Linked DNA regions of Coturnix japonica. The protein of the gene in region 2 binds, or shares a complex with, the protein of the main gene of each other region. Links are inferred from orthologs where the notes say so. Each region holds a gene or a part of one and is shown on either strand. Other genes may lie near its edges.

Region 1 (3,539 bases), on a different chromosome or scaffold from region 2:
CCTTTGGAGTAAACATTTTTCATCATCTTCTACTAGAGCAAATTTTAACGCTTCTAAGTGTACCAGTGCAGACAAAACACAATCTAACCAACAAAGATTACACTTGTTTCTCCACTGAAGACATAAACCTGTGTTATTTGTGGAACAGTTCTTGTCTCTGAACAAAACTTCAGATGTTGTTGAGCTGTGAGTAGAGTTGGGCAAGAGTTGTGTTCCAGAGCTAAAGTTCTTAGGCGGACTCTCTTGATGACCATTGGTGTTGGAGGTTGTTTTAAAATCCACCTTCTGATTGATGGATTCCTCACTATTAGATTTTTGTTGGCCATTTTCTAACACGTCACATACACTTGACTGAGGGATACTCAAGCTATCACCACAGTTTTTAACAACAGGGTCTGTATTAATAGTCTGCTCAACTTTTTTATTAGTTCTTGCTTGTTTTGGATTTGATTCGATGGGAGAAAGGTCATTGGTATCACACAATTTCCTTTTCTTGTCATTAGATGGAACTTGAAGATTTTCTGAATCAGCAGAAATGATTATGCTGTTAAATGGTTTGTAGCCAAGCGGGTAGATACACTACAGGAAAAAAGAAAAGTTACAATGAAATACAGAAAGCAATTTCAGGTGAACAGGAGCTAAAATAACCACAAATGATATCTTGAAATGGAATGTAGGACTTGCATGAAATGATACTTCATTGAAACGAGTACATAAATTCAATGTATGCAAGAGAAACTGAGCATTTTTATCCAAGTACTGTCTTATAGTTAACTGTGAAGTGTATCTACGAGTAGTGACTTCCAGTCCCAGTAAGACACTGGGACTGCAGAGTTCTCTCACTCTGCAAAATCCATTCCAGTAGGGCACGTATTTGATATTACTAACTCTTGCTCAAGAGATTACTAGGATTAAAACTGGCAGGGTCTCTTTCAGCTTAGCCTGCTACTTTAGACCACTAATTGGTAGGGTCATATAAATATGCAACTGGGAAAATAAAGGCAAACACACGACTTCCCATTTCCCAAGCCAACAGCTTGGTTATTTAAAAGCAGGGTGAGGGATGGAGGACACAGCTTGAAGACATCTAGTCCATTAATTCTACTAATTTAAGGGCACCATTCTACATGATTTTGCTTACCCTCCCTCCCCACACAGCAGAAGGGAGAAGCAGCAAACCACCACTCAGATATTGAGAAGCCCAGAAATCTAGCTAAAGCTGAACTTAAAATGGAATAAGTGCTGAAAGATACCGTAATTACTATTATAAACCTATATGTATTACTTAAACATGAGAAAATCAGAGACTCACAGCTCTATGAGTAAAACATTAGTTAATTGCATTTGCCAATTTTGGCTTTGCATTCTGGTTCATACAAAGATTTATTTAGCATCACTCATGTCCCCTTGTTGCGTGAAACAAACTCTACCTTATTCCTTTTAATCTGCTCTTTTAACTCTTCGGAACAGCTGTGCCCAACCGCCACACATATAGAGGTTTGCTATGTTTTTGTCTATATTACAAGCAAACACCATTCAGAATATAAAATCAAAAGCATCCTTTGTCAACAGTCTGCTTACTACCAGTCAAATCCTGAACTTAAAGATGTTTAACAGTTAACGGCAAAGGTCTCTACACCAGCAAACAAAACTGCTAACGAAGTAATACCTGAGGGTTTTCACAGAGATAAATGGACTCTTGAAAATTGATGCGGTAAGTCCGTAAAACTTGAACCTGGCCCTTCTCTTTGCAGACTGGACAATAGTCAGGTGAAGTTTTTTCCACGGGAGTATGCCCCTAAAAAAAGGAGAAAGTTGCATAAACTTACATTTGTTAGTATAGTGTCCCAAGTTAAGACATATATACACACAGAGATAGAAAAGCAAAGACTAGCTTCTAAGCATGTAACACCTAATACAGTATTAAAGAGTAAAGCAGACTAAGTTTTCTCCTTGTAAAATAAGATATATATATATATAGTCATAGTGCAGAACAATCTACACAAATTTATCTTTTGATTTAAGCGTTCAAATATGTAGTAAGGTATCTTCGACAATACAACTATGCAGCGTTTCATTCTACTTACACTAAACCAAAGGAGCCTTATTGCCAAGGTACACATGCTCAGATACTTGCTATAAGAAGTAATATACGCAGAAATACACAGTCACAGAAACAGCACCAGTAAAAAGTTCAGACACAGATCTATTTAGAATCTTTCGCCATTGTTACAGATTTCCGTGGAAAATAATTTTGAGGTTTGGTTTTTTTTAATTTTTATTTTAATTTTTTTTTTGTAAAATAAGACCAATTAAAAAAATATGAACTTTGCACAGATGTAAAATAAGTTTCAACTGACTTTTCCCAAATACCCCACCATGTGGAGTGTCGATTTCCCTATACCAGTCCCTTGTCCAATCACTCGCAAACCATTTGCAGTCTTCTGGGTATCCATCCCTCTGAGCCACTGGCTAATTTATCTCACTTGTAACAATGTCATGACCACTAAGGATTTTTCAAAGACTCCTGAAAAATAAGAAGTGAATACAACAATTAAAGAAAAATTCAGTTAATTTTATTTTTTGGGGGGGAAAAATACACCAACAGTAATGCAGCCCGTACTAACTGCAGTAATGACATTAGAAGAGTGCTTTCTTGATGCAAAATACATATTTTCTAGCACATATACTGAACTCAAAACTTTAAATTAAGTCACATACTAAACTTAACAGCTTTAGGCTATGAGTTTATAAACTTATCCACTGTCTGCATGCCCACCATCCCACTTATTTGCCACGTGTGCTATGCTGGGCAGAGATGCCTTGCCCAAGCAGCTTGACTTACTATATTCTAACTCTCAGACAAAACTAATTTCCTTTACAAAATGGCAACGAGATCTTACACAGTTACAGAAAGCTGTGGAGGAATACTAATGAAAAAAGAAATCATTAAAAGCCCAAACACCATTTCATCAGTTTTCTGAGAAGTAAAATTGGTGCATAATGAACGATAAGAAGTTTAGCTTGTAAATGTAATCACTTCCAACTCCAAAGGGCACCCTGCTGTTACTGTCACTGTTGGGAAACCTCTCCCCTTACTTTAACAGTGTCATAGACCGACTTGCAAATACAAGCTCTTCTGCAGCATCACTGCTTCATAAATCTACTGCATATTTTACAACTGACATCACACATTCCACTTTGTATGCTTTCTTGAATTCAAGGCCAATTTATTTCTTTCTCACCTATCATACACACACACGTTGGTGGAGGAAGACTTCAATACAAACAGAGCACACATCAGCAAGCTGCTCCTTAAACCTGCCTGAGACCATTCCCTCGCTGGCACTGGTACTAACAACCTGAATCAGCTAGAGAAACTGGTGTAAAACTACAAGGACCGAACACTGTTCCTGCTGATTTCAAATGGAAGAATAACTACAATCAATATATCGCACTTTAAGAGTCAGGAGGAAGAGAGATAAGTTGAACAGCAAAGTCATCAAGGTTACTGCCTTCCTTTGAGCCATAATTTCTTC
Region 2 (4,150 bases):
CATGGAGCTGTACACGGAGCTGTGTCACACCCTGTCGGTGCCCCCTCCCCAGCACAGCTCCATGCCGTTCCCTCGGGCCCTGTCGCTGTCACACCGAGCTGAGCTCAGCGCTGCCCATCTGCTCCCTATGAGCTGCAGCTGCCACGAGGCCTCCGCTCAGCTCCTGTGCTCTGGGCCGAGCCCCCCCACCCCCACCCCAAACACGCTCAGCCCCACACCCAGCCGTCCCCATAGTCCCCAGCCCCGCCCCGCTACTCACGTTTATACTCGGCCATCAGCCTCTTTAACGCCGTACCCGCCATAGCGCGGCCCGCAGCGCCCCGGCCCCGCGCCGCTTCCGGGCGGGCTGGAGGGGAGGAAGTAGATAGGGGGCGCGCTAGCACTCCGCCTCTATGGTAAAGGGGGGGGGGGGGGGGCTGAGTCCTCCCAGCGCATGCGCAGTAGCACCAGCGAGTTGTGGGCGGGCCCTCTCAGCCCAGCTGCTCTGCTCACCCCACCCCCCCCCTTCCATTCAGGACACTTCTCGTTTGTGCATTAAAAAAGTATATTTCAGACAACTTTATCAAATCATGACAAAGCACATGTCAATCTGCAATCTTCCAAACTGTCTATACGGAGCATTGCGTCTCGCACGTACAGACCTCGTGTCGTGGGCTTCACGTTTCCCAGCGACTTCAATCAGCGTCTTCTTCCTCCTCTTTTAAAACAATGAGACTCATTAAGCTTGAGATCGGCATGAAAATAGACTTATTTACAAGGGTAGGATGGAACAGAGGGGCAGGGCTGACAGCCAGGAATGCACTCCATGTCCTCAAACACGGACAGGGTTATTTAGGCCACAGGTTTGAAAGGGAATAAACCAGGAAACAGCAGACAGACAGACAACGTGTAGCACTGAATCGGAACTCAAAAATCAACTGGGCCCAATTAAAGATAAGAGATGAATCCCTGCAGATACTGTGTCGACTTGCACACGCAGTACGTCAAAGACAACAAGCGATTTTGGGTAAATGTCCTCTAAGGTTTCCGAGAATCCCGTGTGATCGGCGTGTTCATTTGTTCACTATTTGATAGCAAATCCAAGGACAGATGAGAGCGAGGTGCGATGAGGAGCCTCTGTGCTCCAAAGGATGCCATGTCTTAGCACAGCCCGCCCGTCTGCTGCTGGAACACATCGATAGTGTCTTCGTCTTCCATCTCCAGCTGTGAGGGTGATACGGAGAACACGAGTTCACAACCATAAACTTATAATAGAGTTACACAGGTTTTGAGATCTCTATTTCAAAGCAGACTCAGAACCCAGCCATCTAAAAGCAACCAACTCAGATGTGTTTCTTCTGTTCCTCACCTCAGGCCTCGTCAATGCAAGAAAACCCTTAAATTCTGAGCGCTGACTGAGCTGGCAGCAGCTACAGCACCCAGCTTTAGTCCTGGCTGTATCCAGACATGGGACAGAGCTGAAGAGCTCAGCACTCCCTCCAGGTCCTGCCCACAGCAGCACACAGGTGCCAGTGTGTTTGGCACCATCTGTTCATGCACATCTCCCACCCCAGCCAGCATAAAACACATATGGAAGAGACTGAAGAAGAAGCACAAAATGATCTGCACTAAAAGCACCTTTCATACCTGTGCAGGTGTGTCTGCTTCATTAATCGGCTGCCCGTCGAATCTGAATCTGATCTGCCTCATGGACAAACCCTGCCAATATACAGAGTGACACATGTGAGGAACCAAACCGAGACACGTCTGAATCCAAACAAAGCACTGACTGATTTAGTGCCGGGACGCATATTAACTAAATTAACATGTAATATAAGCAGATGGGGAACTTCATGCCTCTGTTGCTGTACAGGAGGGTGCAGAGCTGCCGGATGGATGCTGTGGCAGTGAGGGCGCACTCCATTCCATCGTAGATGTCATTGATAGAGATGTTAAAGAAAACCGGTCTCAGGACAGATCCCTGGGGGATGCCGCTCGTTACCGGCCTCCACCTGGACATAGAGCCATTGACCACCACCCTCTGTCTGCGGCCTTTCAACCAATTGCTTATCCATCTAGTTGTCCACCCATCAAATCCACCTCCCTCCAATTTGGAGATGAGGATGTGATGGGGGACCATGTTAAAGGCCTTGCTCAGGTCCAGGTAAGGTCAGGTGCAGGGATGGGGCAGAGCTTTAGGAGTGTGGAAGCAGAGGAAGGGCTCCACGTGCAGCAGCACACACACACAGCGCTGCCCGCACTCAGTGCTGGCTGTGGCCCCGTTGTACACACACCTGCCGCTCGCAGTAGGCCTTCATCAGCTTGCTGAGAGGCGTGTGCCGCTTGATCTTGAACTGCACGACGGAGCCGTCCTGCCCGGCCACCTTCAGGTTGATGTGGTCGTTCTCTGTCTTCACTCCTTCCTGAGGGGGGACAAACCGGACGAGAGCGGCGATCATCGCAGTGCCAGGCCCGACCCTCCCCCCCTTATCCCCCCATAGCTCATCCTACGGCCCGCCCCGTGCCCGCAGAGCCCCAGCCCTGCTCACCTTGGGCTTCTCCTCCGACATGGCGGAGGGTCGGGCCCGGGGTTGGGTTCGGTTCGGGCCCGTCCCGCGCTGCTCCCGCCGCCAACAACCACCGACCGCGAGAGCGCGCGCCGAGCCGCGCCCCCGCCACCCCGCGCCAGCAATCCCGCGTTCTGATTGGCCGCACGGCTGATCACGTGGGAAGGAGGAGGGTGAGCGACAGCGCGCGGCGCGGCGGCTCTAGAAAGTGCGTCACTGGATACGGCCCAGTACGGCTATAGCGCCCCCCAGCGGGCGGCCAGAGAACTGCACCGAGCGCAGCACCGGCTCCTGCCCTTCAGAATAAAGCGCTCACGTTGGGATAGTAATCAAATCGATTTAATACATCTTGACCACATCGCATCAGAACCCTACCGTATTGCAATCAGTAACAGGCACCGAGCCCAGGAGATGATCAATATAAGGCACAGAGGTAGAGGGGGCTGTGGAGGGTCCCTGGATTAGTTGCAAGTGAAGCGTGCATTTAGGGCCTGCCCCCAAAGGCCCAAGGCAGCGAGAAACTGGTGCTGGTGTGTGAGTGTATGCATAGAGCTGCAGGCAGACAGGGCACCCCTGAGCCACTGCTGCACACAGGGACATGAGCATCACAATGCACGCACCCAGCTTTGCATAAGGCAGAAGGAAGACACACTAGGCCACCTCAGCCAGGCACCGTGTTGTATTGTGCTGTGCTGCCACCCCCAGGTGAGTAAAGGAGGAGTGTGAAGCCCCAGTGTTATTGCCACCAAGTTTCCAGGCACAGAGTGAGGTTCCAGCCCGGCCAGGCACTGCAGCTGATCCTGGCACTGCAGCTGATCCTGGCACAGCCTCTGCAGCAAAAGCCCAGGGCAAGCTGAGAACTGGAGTGGGGAATGGGGGGAGTCACTGAGCAGGGCTTGTGGCAGCATGTGGCACCATAGGGGGCTCCTAGAAAGCAACCCAGAGTGAGGTGGGTCTAGAAGGAGGACGCCATTCACCAGGTGGGGCAGATCCAGAGAGGCTAGTTCTCAAATTTTGCATAAGGGTTCTCCTCCTTGAACAGGCCTGGAAGAAAAGAGAGACACTGAGAGTCACTCATTGCTCTGGGTGACAATTCTTTCACTAACCATCCTCTGCTCACCATCCTGCTCTAGAGACTATTGTACTATTGTCCTCATGGAAGGATGCGCCCACACCACCTCAACTCCTACCCCTCATGGGATATACATCAAGCTCTGTGTTCAGTCCTGGACCCTTCACTACAAGGAGGATGTGTGTCCAGCAGAGCTGAGGGGTCTGGGGCATAAAGTGTGATGGGGAGCAGCTGAGGGAACTGGGATGGTCACACTGAGGAACACAGTCTAGAGCTGCCACAGACATGGCTAAATGGTTGGAGTAGTTATCCCAGAGCTCTTTCTAATTTTAAACGATTCTACAACTCTAAAGCTTAGTGTAATTTGCTACTGCAAACGACTGTACCGTATTTTCTTCGGATTTCATCGTGCCGTGACTTCATCTCTGCTCTCCTGTAAGAAACAAACAGGAAAGAAACCACGAGTGACCAGCAGAACACAGCCAAGGAGGAGCTCCAGCTCCCAGCTCCCTCCCAGGGTGGAGGGAGCCCT
Region 3 (3,539 bases), about 620 kb from region 2:
GCTCTTAGAACAATATGACCACATCCATGATATCAGAGCTTGAACACTAAGCCAGCTGTTACAGTCTGAAAGATTAACACAGCAGAAAGGCGATATAGAAATGAAATAGCAAAAGGGACTAGCATGAAATGAGATAATGTTACAAAAGAAAAAGCACTCACCTGTCTCTGAAGATGTAGGCTCACAAGGGAGTGATCTCCGACCAGGGATCTTTCCCCCCCTGGCAGTCAGCCCTTAAACGGGGTCTAAGAGAGGTGCAGCCAGGCTCCACCTCTTCCAGTCTCACAGCTTCATTGCTTTCACCTGTGCTCCCCGGGCTGGCCAGGTCCTTTCCCAGGTGCTCAATCAGTGGTTCAGGCTGGGACTCAGCAGTTCCTATAAACCAGCAGATTGCTTCTTTCCTGGATTAGCACAGCACCTCTCTTTATAACAAGTTAGTTTCTCTTGTAGATCATCTTTTCTGGTAAGCTGAAGAATGTAACTACTGAAAGTGACTTTAGATCCTGGACATCAGAACTCATACACTTTCACATAATATCTAGGAGGCCTATTTGACAGAGTTTAAACTTCATAACCTTGTAGTTATTATTAGCAGGGTTGTTGGGTTTTTTTTTGTCTTTTCCATCATAATCTGAGAGTCATGCTTGCCTGATGTACATTAACTGTTGACTTCTTGTATGCTTTTTTGTGCAGATGATGACAGCAGCTCAAGCCAGTCTCTGGAAAACGATGAGACCAGGTAGAGTCTTGATTCCTCTTTGGTTTTGTTCTGTGTGTTCCAGCAGTGTCCAGAAAGAGAATAGTCATACTCATCTCAATGATGTGGCTCGTGTCTTGTTGCAGTAAGCACAGCCAGTGAGAGAGATTTTTGTATAGCTGATCTATGGTAACGCATTCCTTAACCAGAAGATGGATGTATAAGAACTATGCAGGATGATATTACTACAGCCTGCTTCTCTCTATTTCCTTTTGCAGTTACTACACACCAGAAGAAAAGGAAGACAAGAAAGGACAGGAGAAACAAGCCAGCACAGGGGTAAGCTTGTTATTTAGATGTATGTGGAGTATGGATGCATATTCAAAACACACTTCCAGTTTTATACATGAACAAGACTTTGTGTAATCCCCTAGCAAATTTGCTTGCTAGCTTGACTTCTTTTTGTCTAACTGAGACAGTGTGGAGATGAAAGCTCAGAGGAGGCCTCCTTTGAATTGCACCTGGCACCTGTTCAGACCAAAAAACCATCTGTCTATGATGTGGAAGAAAAGAAATTCCCAAGACCTAAAAAAAGAGAAATCTTTCCTCCGCTCACAGAGGTACCACAATTATCAGTCTGTTGTTCAAATTAGAAAGCTAGAATTAGAACATAGGTTAGTGTGCTCACAGGTTCTTTCCCATTCAATTGCTTGCTTCAGGCCATGGAGAGAGAGATCATGGCTGCGCTGGGCGAAGGTAAAGGGGAGGAGATCATGAGCAGCGCCTTCAGACTCAGTCTCACCCGTGATGACATCCATACACTGAATGAACTTTGCTGGCTAAATGATGAGGTAAAACTAGCTGTGGCACTGTGATGTTCCCATTGTGTATGTCTTTTTAAATGTCCTCAATGCATACAGGTCTGATTGCAGTTATTTGAGGTCTGCAGAACTTATAAACATCTGTCGAGTCTTATTTTAGGTACATAACGGCTGAGTGTTTCTAGAAGCTCCTGTATTTCTTGGGTTGGTCTAGAAGTTAGTCTTCTGGAAGCATTGCTTCTCTGGTTTTGTGCTTTTTGGTTTTTATTTTGGTGAGCAGTCTCTTACATCTCATGATTGCTTTTTACCATGCAGGTCGTTAACTTCTACATGAATCTTCTGGTGGAAAGAGGCAAAAAAGATGACTATCCAACCGTCTATGCTTTTAGTACTTTCTTCTATCCCAAACTTGATTCTGATGGCTACAGAGCAGTGAGAAGATGGACCAGAAACGTGAATCTGTTCAACCAGGACATCATTTTGATTCCTATTCACCTGAGATCACACTGGACCTTGGTGGTGAGTCATGCTTTTATTTCAATTGAAGAATTAAGCAGGTAGAAAGCAAGCAAGCAAGAAATGTCGGCCAGCTTTTGTTCTGTTTGCTGCATAGGCTTGTGGGGTGTCTCATGGTTACTTTCCATTAACAGGTTGTCGATGTCAGAAAGAAAACTATCACCTACTTTGACTCGTTTGGAAAAAAAGGAAACAAGATTTGTGAGACTGTACTGTAAGTAACTGCTCGCTCAGTGCTTTTGCACTGTGAGCTCAGAGAAGGCTTTTAGGTTTCTGTATCTGTAACACAACTGGAAGCCTTTGCTTTGTTTGTAGCTAGGGAATAGAAACCGTTCTCACATCACCTCCTCCATGTGTGATACATGTCTGGGTTTCCAGTATGTGCATGTGCAAAGCATCACCATGAAGTGTATGCAGACTTAAAGTTTGAATTGCTCCTCCAAATGCCTTATGGCACTAAATATCCACTGATGTTTTATTGTCCAGCCATTTGGCTTCCTGTGGTCTTTTCAGCATCTCTTTTTTGTCAGCCTAAAATACAGAGGTGAAGAGTTGTTTTATTTTGTTTTAAACAGCCAATACCTGCAAGAAGAAAGCTGGGAGAAACAAAAAGTCAAGCTGTCATCTTCAGAGTGGACTCTTCGCAGCATGGAGCCTCATGTATGTGAGCACTACCGGGATCTGAAATGTGAACCCCTAACTCCTCATTACAAAGGCCTTAATGCTTTCTTACTTAGTCTAAGCTTTAAAGGGGTGTGAAGGTGTGGTTCACTGGGTGTACTCCTTGTGTGTGGGGATGGGCTGTGCATGTTGGTTCCACAAGAAAATGTGGTGGTGGTGGTGGGTGGTGCTGCCTCCAAGTCGCTTTTCTTTTAAGATGGAAAAAATTCTCCACCTTCTTTCCATTCTTTAGGAAATTCCTCAGCAATCAAATGGAAGTGACTGCGGAGTTTTTATGTGCAAATACGCAGATTACGTCTCCAGAGACAAACCCTTCACCTTCACTCAGGTGAGCCAAAGTTAGAGTTTGCCTTAAGCTGTTGTTAATAGTCAAATAAACGTGGTTGTGTTTCATCCCTGCAGCACCAAAGCGGGGGTGAGACATAGCAGTCCACGCTGTACTCACAGTGGCCGCGGTGACGGTGCTTAAAATGAACTTGGTGTGAAAGAACACGGTATGTATTTTCTGTCAATTTCTGCTATCATATTTAATGGGTTTGTTCTCTTCTTCTTTTCAGGAAAACATGCCTTACTTCCGCAAGAGGATGGTGTGGGAAATAATCCACCAGCAGCTGCTGTGAGACGTGAAGCGTTACGAGTATCGCCGCAGATGACCTCGGAGCCACTAACTTATATTTTGTCATATTATTTATTTCTGCGATGCCTTATTGAACCAGGCCGCAGCCACTTGAAAATGTTCCTGTTTTAAGCTATAAAGTATTGTTTAACTGTTTTTTCCTCAATTTCGGAGACAGTGCCTCTCTTTGAAATGAGCTGATGTGCCT

The links.
Region 1: the proteins of small ubiquitin-related modifier 3 (region 2) and USPL1 are in contact, whole or in part, in a crystal structure (PDB 7ZJU), measured with the Homo sapiens proteins. The link is inferred for Coturnix japonica from reciprocal best matches to the Homo sapiens genes SUMO3 and USPL1. Residues at the interface, in NP_008867.2 of Homo sapiens: Gln24, Asp25, Gly26, Ser27, Val28, Arg58, Arg60, Gly63, Gln64, Pro65, Ile66, Asn67, Asp70, Leu75, Phe86, Gln87, Gln89, Thr90, Gly91; in NP_005791.3 of Homo sapiens: Ala234, Cys236, Trp237, Pro321, Gln322, Leu323, Arg324, Met330, Glu331, Ser332, Val334, Phe335, Leu339, Tyr368, Thr378, Thr380, His393, Phe394, Gly395, Pro396, Asn398, Arg407, His421, Val423, Tyr451, Asn454, Asn455, His456, Phe457, His493.
Region 3: the proteins of small ubiquitin-related modifier 3 (region 2) and SENP2 are in contact, whole or in part, in a crystal structure (PDB 2IO1), measured with the Homo sapiens proteins. The link is inferred for Coturnix japonica from reciprocal best matches to the Homo sapiens genes SUMO3 and SENP2. Residues at the interface, in NP_008867.2 of Homo sapiens: Arg55, Arg58, Arg60, Phe61, Asp62, Gly63, Pro65, Asn67, Asp70, Leu75, Asp81, Asp84, Phe86, Gln87, Gln88, Gln89, Thr90, Gly91, Gly92, Val93, Pro94, Glu95; in NP_067640.2 of Homo sapiens: Gln385, Asp386, Phe393, Lys394, Leu395, Arg396, Trp410, Leu411, Asn412, Asp413, Glu414, Ser439, Thr440, Phe441, Pro444, Lys445, Arg456, Trp457, Lys459, His474, Lys476, Val477, His478, Trp479, Met497, Gln499, Gln542, Asn544, Gly545, Ser546.

Annotation. Positions count from the first base shown.
Region 1 is NC_029516.1:156,627,287-156,630,825, forward strand, and holds part of USPL1 (SUMO-specific isopeptidase USPL1), read right to left. Parts: exon of another isoform or gene 2,528-3,539; 5' UTR 2,457-2,527; coding exon 2,361-2,456; intron 1,799-2,360; coding exon 1,670-1,798; intron 580-1,669; coding exon 1-579. UniProt on the Homo sapiens protein: SUMO-specific isopeptidase involved in protein desumoylation. Specifically binds SUMO proteins with a higher affinity for SUMO2 and SUMO3 which it cleaves more efficiently. Also able to process full-length SUMO proteins to their mature forms.
Region 2 is NC_029524.1:3,983,907-3,988,056, reverse strand, and holds small ubiquitin-related modifier 3, read right to left. Parts: upstream 2,672-4,150; 5' UTR 2,550-2,671; coding exon 2,529-2,549; intron 2,403-2,528; coding exon 2,274-2,402; intron 1,699-2,273; coding exon 1,627-1,698; intron 1,204-1,626; coding exon 1,141-1,203; 3' UTR 527-1,140; downstream 1-526. Other genes in the region: UBE2G2 (ubiquitin-conjugating enzyme E2 G2), read right to left, coding at 260-302; PTTG1IP (pituitary tumor-transforming gene 1 protein-interacting protein), read right to left, coding at 3,547-3,590, 4,005-4,051. UniProt on the Homo sapiens protein: Ubiquitin-like protein which can be covalently attached to target lysines either as a monomer or as a lysine-linked polymer. Does not seem to be involved in protein degradation and may function as an antagonist of ubiquitin in the degradation process.
Region 3 is NC_029524.1:3,359,066-3,362,604, reverse strand, and holds part of SENP2 (sentrin-specific protease 2), read left to right. Parts: intron 1-693; coding exon 694-739; intron 740-975; coding exon 976-1,036; intron 1,037-1,176; coding exon 1,177-1,317; intron 1,318-1,416; coding exon 1,417-1,548; intron 1,549-1,833; coding exon 1,834-2,037; intron 2,038-2,168; coding exon 2,169-2,248; intron 2,249-2,609; coding exon 2,610-2,694; intron 2,695-2,947; coding exon 2,948-3,043; intron 3,044-3,272; coding exon 3,273-3,335; 3' UTR 3,336-3,539. UniProt on the Homo sapiens protein: Protease that catalyzes two essential functions in the SUMO pathway.